2 linked regions of the Oryzias latipes genome follow. The protein of the gene in region 2 purifies or fractionates together with the protein of the main gene of each other region. This does not show direct contact. Links are inferred from orthologs where the notes say so. Each region holds a gene or a part of one and is shown on either strand. Other genes may lie near its edges.

Region 1 (4,261 bases), on a different chromosome or scaffold from region 2:
CCCACCTAAACATTTTTTAAAGCTACCTGAACTGGTGGTGTTTTAAGATATACTTTGTCAAGTTACATACACTATAGAAGATAATTTAAATAAGTGTAAACCACATGCTAGAAATGAATTTGGAACTGCTTGTGTAAAGCATGACTGCACTTAGTGGGAGTTCAGTTTGGACAGAAAGCCTTTTTGCATTATCCAAATGCAGCAGCACATGCTTGGAATTTTGAATGCAATTTGTTTTGTAGCTCAGCAACATAAGCTTCAACCTGCCTGTAGCGATAAAATGAGTAAGCGTGCAAACTGGTAAATAATGGAGAAAAGTCTATTTGTGTCAAATCCATGTAGATTTTGAATCAAACCTATTATTCTAAGTTAAAGCATTACAAACATGATCGCATGAATAGTTTTGTGCAAACGCCTCTTTAAATCAGTGGAAAAGGACTGGAGAGCGCCCAGGAAAAGAAGGATTGAACAGGAAAAAACGAAGAAAATGCATCTTTATAGCAATTTGGCATTCACATCTGTCAACCTAAATGGCAAAATGGGCATGCATGTTTTTAATGAACGAAAACGGACCTAGACAATATTCATTCTTTACCCTTCAAGGACAACCTTCTAACCACAGCGTTGATATGAAAGTTGATGCTTTCAGAGATTAGTCTGTCCTTACCCGGTATATCTCTTCCAAGAGCAACTTGGCACAGTTTCTGCCAAGGTCTTCTGGCAGTATGGGGTCTCCTTGCCCCTGTGGAGTTGAAGACATCTCCGCACCGAGAAAGCAGCCATTCTGGGTTTCGGCCACAAGTGTCAAACCAAAGCCTGGAGACCTGCAGTTACACTTTGTTAATGTCTTACTTTTTGATTCAGCACTATACCGCGTGCTGGAAAGTTTATGGAGATACCTACTTGCCAGAGTTTGCTCCTTTCATGTGGTCTGTGTAAATATAGATGTCTGGTATGAACTGGTTGAGGACAGCCCTGGTTGACTCTACAATCCTGTTGGCCATCTGAGGAGAAACTCGCACAGAATATCTGAACTTCTGAGTCAAGGACTTAGATTTGTATTAGATTTGACTTTAAAAGTGTTTTTCTGCACCGTTACTTCTTATTCTAATCTATTCAGATACTTCTTTCTGAGATTCTGTGTTTCACTGTGTACAATGGGCCAAGAACTTAAGAATTTACCTGTGTCTACTCTGTTATAATATAAATTCTTGATTCTAAATAACTAAAGAAAACAGACTTAGAATTAAATGAGCAACATCTATTAGAGCAATAGATGTCAGAAATGTAAATTGTGATAATAAAGAGGATAATTTGCATGTATTTTAACTTTTTATAAATCAAAATGACAGCTAATCTAAATAAATTTCTATGCATGAAAAATGTAAAAAGGGACAATTAGACAAAGATACGCCACTCCTCTAATCCTCTTGATCTTGGCTTGCTCTGTCAACTGGACCGGTTTGAGAGTTCTGCGGATGGGGCAAGACAAAACCACCTCTCCTCCACCACCAGGTGCCATCCCTCTTTTCACCACCTGAGGGTGTAACAGCCAAAAAATACATATAAATTAAATACATGTAGTTGTGGGCCAGAGTCATCTGTGTCTGTGCTTAACACAGAATAATCCAGCTTTTTAATTATCTTCATCACTGGTCTACCAGTATGTACTCACCCTGAGATCAAATCCCTCCCCATCAATTCCAAATCTTTTCATCAGAGGGACAGCCGTGGTCTTCAGCAGGTCAATCTGCAAAACAAGACAAATAATAACCACGAAGGTAAACCAACACAACTAACTGTCACAGCCCAACACCGACATCTGTCATGTTCACATACTATCAAGTCAGGTTGCAAACCCCAGACTGGAAAGTCTATATGATCATGGGAAAAGTTCACTTAAACACATTGACTACAGGACCCAGTTTTTTTTTTTGTTTTGTTTACAAAAACTTGGTTTAAAGAGTAGAATATTTATGTCACCGTTGGATCATTGGGGTCGTTAGTAACTCCTCTGAGAGTTGCCTTCAGAGCCATCTTCATGAAAGGAGCCAACATGAGTAAAGCTTCAAGATAGTATCCAATGGAGCGTTGAGGATTGCAGTCGTGCTCTATAGAGCCGCCATACAACAATCCAGGCTGGTAGGATAGCACAGTTCCTAGAAAAGTCAATAATTGTAGACAAATGGAAAAACAATCACAAAAGTCATATTCAGCATATTTCCACACAAAAAACAAAAACAAAACATTAATACTCACCTGTTTGATTAATTTCTATTCTTGAGCCATTGGTCACTTTATCAAGAAGTCTGATGAAGCTTGCTTCAAAGTCTGGAAAAGAAAAACAGCATATTTTAGTTATTAAGAATAAAAAAAATCATCAAAATAGAAAATAAATCAAAAGTTTTCTATTCCAAAAAATAAATTAATGAAAATTTGAGCTTTTACTAAACACTAAAAATAAACTATCCAATTACTTAGTTATATGAACACTCATCTGTATGTTCTTCGTACAAGTTTGCAAAATAAAGCTATGAAAACATCAAAGAATATTATTTATGACAATATTGTAATTAAAAAAATATATATAGGAAGACCAAAAATGAATTCTATTTAATTGACAGTCTTCCTAGTCATTTATCCCACTATAGAATCCCGGTGACAACACTGATTCCCAACTGCGTAACAGCTAGCCCTTAGCCACCAAGCTAACTACGACGCCACATGCAGAGTCAAGCTGCAACTTACCGCGCAGCCCTGGGTCGTCCTCTTTAGATCGTATGTTCTTAATTCTGACACGTTTCCCACTAAGTGTTGACAAAACTAGCCGCTGTCTTAAAAAATTGCACCCCTCGTAAGAGAGTCCCTGGTTTGCCATTTGTATTGTTGTTTCTATGCTTGGCAGCAGGAGAATCCACGTGTGTTTGTGCAGGAAGCAACAATAGGAGGGGCGAGTACGGCATATCAAGTAGGCCAAAAAGGTCCTTTTTTTCTCCTTAAGCGCTTCGCCTCATTGACATATGGCCATTCATTATAACAAGACAGGCGGAGCCTTAGTTTTTCTTAAAGCCACAGTGATACCAAACGGTGACAAAGACGGTTAAAAACACATTTATCTTCCTTTTAACATTTTAAAAGTAAGAAACGACGTATTTGGAGATAAAACCCTTCTTTAAACGATAAGGGCTAAGGGTTTCCCCTTAACAAATTATTCTTTATTTGAACAAATTAAGATTTTTTTTAAATTGACATGGTTTGAGAGAAAGGAAACATTCATTCAGAACTTTTAAGCGGCCAAGCTGAAACCCTATTGCACAGAAGTCGATGCCATGGGATTAATCACCGTCACCTTGCCAACCAGCGAGGGCTTTGCCGCCCGAAAACCAATTATATAACTATATTATACAACAAATTCATCGACAATAAAGCCCAACACTTTCCCAGACGGCATGACTGGGTACTTTGGGGGAAATGTCTTATTTCTGAGGGACGGGACGGCGTCTGGAGGGGATTTGCGCGCACATGCTGTCTGTCACTAGCTGGGTTAGTTAGCTGCCAGCCTCATCTTCTTTCTCCACCTCTTTCTCCTCCTCTTCCTCCACGGCTGGGGGGGAAAACAGAGTGGAGGGAGAGAGCGGCTCCTCAAGACACGTCCCCTCCTTTGTTGCGTAGTCTGTTCGTAATACTTCAGTTCGTGGTTCGGTCCGGTCCAGCCAGGCATCCCGGAACCCGCCCCGCACATGCGCAATTTGCGTTCATTTAAACTCGAAGTTCCATTCGAGGGGAAATGGTCGCGCAGAGGATCCTTCGTGCTGTCATCATGGGACCCCCGGGCTCCGGGAAGGGGACGGTGTCTGCACGCATCGTCAAAAGTTTTGGAGTGAAGCACATCTCCAGCGGGGATATTTTGAGGGCCAACATCAAGCAACAAACAGGTAAAAATATTTAATTTAATCCAGTTTCATCCCAAACCATAGATGAAGTTTGAATTAAATTAAATTGGCAGTAGCAGGGGTTGGTTTCCTGGTCTGTCCTGATAAAGTGTACCACTCCTTTTTTTTCTTTTTGCAGAACTTCTTATCTCTTTAAATTGAGCAAAATTAACATGTTTCTCCCAGGTTGAAGTCAAACTAGTCTGCATGACAGGGTCATGTTTTTACTCCAAACATCTGCAGGGACACAAGCCTGCATTTCGCCATGAAGCTTATCCTCAGAACCACCTTGGATGTGGATTATCAGGTCGTAAAGATAACTAACTGTG
Region 2 (3,293 bases):
ACAGAACCAGTCCACGTTTTTAAGGATGTTTTTTTTGCCTCAAACTTTAGGAACTTTTCCCTGACATTTGACAGATATTCTGCTGTGCGCCAAGCTAATCCATCAAGCTAGCAGCATTAGCATTAGCTAAGCTATTTGTTCCGATTCGACGCGCAGGTGACAGGTCCGTTAGCCGGAAATGAAAACAGACCGCTGTGATGCTGAGACGACATTATTCTACGGGGGGCGACGCGAATGAGCCGACACTACACAGCAGATAAATGAATGACACAGACGAACCCCTCTGGACTCCTCTGATCGACCCCCGAGATGATGGGACTCTGTGAAGCTAGCTGAGCCCCAGACCGGAAACAGAAAAAACAAGAGCCTCCGTTGTATTTAAAAAAAAAAAAAAAGTTTCCCTTTTACATTCATTGAGCTATGCCCGAAATATCTACACATTTTTGTAATTTCAATGATAATATTAGTCAAACATATGTATTTTAAGATTTCCTTAAGCTGGAATCCGACCTGAATTCGCTTTTATTTGTAAGTTTATTCCATAGACGGCTTCAGCCTTCAAAATAAAAGTCGCTCTTCATGCAGGTGGATCAAACAGAAAATCTTTAAGAAGTTCAAAGTTTATAGTCAGTAAATTCAAATAGTGAAGCCTGTATTTATTTTATTTTGAAATCATTACACAAACTGAAATATTCCAAGCCTCTATATATTATTTTAATAACTTTGTCTCATGAACTCCAAAAAAATGCAGCACTATTGGTTCACATGACAAGTTTTACTCTTTGAATTAACAGACCAAAAAAGCTCTTCAAACGTAATTCAGATATTTTTCCAAATGTATCCATAGAGCCCTGCGACAGACATGTGTCAGAGGTGTGAGGGACGGAAAGCTAGTAGGAGAGTGAGCGTGCAAATAAAGAGCTCTCGGTTATGGGTGACGGGAAGGGGAGGGTCACTCTGCACCAATAGCTCCGCCTACAACTCAGAGGTGAAATTGTAATGAACTGCAGGTGTGGGACTTTAAGGAAAAAAGGTTTTCCAGAACCGGTAACCCTTTAAACTCCATGTTTCAAAAGTCAGACCAGCTTTATTACCTAGAGTTTTATTAAAAGAGGGAGCAACCATCACAAACATTTGCCATGAAAGCATTTACAGAAAGGCCGTCAGGCTCGGGTCAACTCTGGGGTCACGAGTCCTTCTGCTCTCCTTTCAGACTGGACCTCTGCTTCTTCTGCTCCGTCTGTCCCATGACTCTGTAAAGTCTCTTGCGGGCCTCCTTCTGTCTCTTCATCTTCGCCTCCTCGTCCTTCTCCTTCTGCTGGAGGAACTCTTTGTGCCGGGCGTGCTGCACTGAGTGGGCTTTCTTCCTCTTGTGGTTGTGGACGGTGCGCAGAGCGTGAAGCAGAGCCGCCACCTGTTGGGCCGCCAGAGGACACCGTCACATTTACAGGACAACATTGTCTTTTTCTCGAAAAGCGTTGTGGGGAGGGCGTCCTCCCTTCATGGGACTGACGGTGAACCTTCATTCCTGCTGCTGATGCAGTCATGAGCTCGAGCTTTCTCACCTTCCTCTCGTGGGGTTCTCGTATCACTTTGGGCCTCTGCAGGTCTCTGGGCGTCTTTCCCTTCGCCTGCTGCTGTTTGGGTTTGCTCTTGAAGGGCAGGGCTTTCTGCAGCTCCTTGGGGATGTGCAGGGGGTTGAAATGCCTCGGGGCTCGTACCACGGGCTAGAAAGGGAGGCAAAAGTGATTGTAGAGGTTACAAACGCCGTGGATGACCTGAAAAGAAAATCACTTTCAAGCCTCTGAGGTTTATACAAAGAAGTGCATCCCACTTCAGTTTGCTGTACCTTGTAGAGAGAGTCTTGGTTGGGCTTGTTGTGGATGCCCAGGTCAAGCTTCAGCTGCCCCAGCGTCCTCATCCCCGACCAGCCGTCCTTCTGGCCGACCGGCAGCAGCAGGGAGGTGATGGGGTTGTAGAGCTGAGGAACCGACACCGGATACCAGGAACGCAGGAACACAATGTCTGCACCACAAATGCACAAAGACGGACTTCGTTCGAATGCTTTCTGGGGAAAACATGGCGACCGTAGGGGTGCAGCGGTTTCTCACACCCCGAGAGAGAAACCTCCCTGATCAACCAGGTTACCCCAATCCTCCATCCTGATTGGGAGAAACCGTCTCCTCAAGGAAGCCGGTAACCTGATAACTTACTGATGGCGCACGCCACACAAAAGGCCTCAAACACTAAAAAGAATCCCTCCTTTGAGCCCACCTGCTGCAGTCAACATCCTCAGCTTTCAGGAAACTCACCACTCATGAGCAGGCGGTCCTCAAACGTAGCTCTGAAAGCCCCCGGAGGTGTGGACAGGGCCTTCTTTATCTGACCTCTGACCCCCGAAACCGTCCGCACCGAAGCTCCTTCAAATTTCGCCACCTCCAGCACCGTGTTGAACATCCCCTGAAGACCAGAGGAGACGAGGAGCATCAGCGTCTTCTGCCGCTGCTGCACATCAAGTCGGGTCCAATCTGACCCGTTTATTTAGACTCAATGAAGCAAAAAGCCTCAGTTTTCATCTTTCAGAGCTGGTTTCTCCTTTGAGTTCGAGGAAAGATCCACAGGTCGGACACAGAACTGCTCCTCCATCAGAGGATGGACAAACATCTGCTTTCTCACCTTAACAAAGGAAGTGTTCTTGAAGATCTTGTAGGGATAACCAATCAGTTTGAGCTTCTTCACTATGGTCACAGATTTATCAAGATCCAGGACCACTCCTGTGGCCGCGATGCGAAAGTTGGCCTGCAGACAAACAAAGAAAGGAGACGAAGACCCCGTCAGAGAGTTTAGCTTTCACCTGCGGAGCGGGAAACACTTTTTAGCTCGACTTACTTTGACTCCTGCCACGGACTGCAGAGCCAGGAAGCCGGTCCCCTGTGGGGTGATGGGCCCTTTGGGACGATAAGGTTAAACGGTGACCACGCGTAAATATGACAGCAAAACATCTTTTCAACACGTCCTGACTTCAAAATACAGAATTTAAACTGTGTTTGTGTCGTTTTGACACAGTTTTCAGATTAAAAACAACCAGCCGAGCCAAACGAAGCTTCCTGTCTTTATGGAGGTCAGTCGCTTCACTTCCCCTTAAAGAGCCGGCTGGAGGTCGGGATGCTTTCCACACCCAGCAGAAATGTTTACGTCCACACATAGAAGACCTCCGGGCAGAGCCAGGACGATCAATTCATCAACACTTGTAATAGATTCATCTATTTGAACAAACCTGGCGATTGCTGTGA

The links.
Region 1: the proteins of bms1 (region 2) and rcl1 purify together in Homo sapiens (co-immunoprecipitation; 4 studies listed by BioGRID and IntAct, with this or other methods). This does not show direct contact. The link is inferred for Oryzias latipes from reciprocal best matches to the Homo sapiens genes BMS1 and RCL1.

What each region holds. Positions count from the first base shown.
Region 1 is NC_019870.2:15,888,594-15,892,854, reverse strand, and holds the start of rcl1 (RNA 3'-terminal phosphate cyclase-like protein), read right to left. Parts: upstream 2,968-4,261; 5' UTR 2,879-2,967; coding exon 2,749-2,878; intron 2,332-2,748; coding exon 2,260-2,331; intron 2,160-2,259; coding exon 1,984-2,159; intron 1,751-1,983; coding exon 1,676-1,750; intron 1,538-1,675; coding exon 1,413-1,537; intron 1,030-1,412; coding exon 904-1,029; intron 825-903; coding exon 668-824; intron 1-667. Other genes in the region: ak3 (GTP:AMP phosphotransferase AK3, mitochondrial), read left to right, coding at 3,788-3,935. UniProt on the Homo sapiens protein: As part of the small subunit (SSU) processome, it plays a role in 40S-ribosomal-subunit biogenesis in the early pre-rRNA processing steps at sites A0, A1 and A2 that are required for proper maturation of the 18S RNA.
Region 2 is NC_019877.2:23,414,643-23,417,935, reverse strand, and holds the end of bms1 (ribosome biogenesis protein BMS1 homolog), read right to left. Parts: intron 2,949-3,293; coding exon 2,890-2,948; intron 2,800-2,889; coding exon 2,677-2,799; intron 2,461-2,676; coding exon 2,313-2,460; intron 2,026-2,312; coding exon 1,850-2,025; intron 1,728-1,849; coding exon 1,566-1,727; intron 1,415-1,565; coding exon 1,187-1,414; 3' UTR 757-1,186; downstream 1-756. UniProt on the Homo sapiens protein: GTPase required for the synthesis of 40S ribosomal subunits and for processing of pre-ribosomal RNA (pre-rRNA) at sites A0, A1, and A2.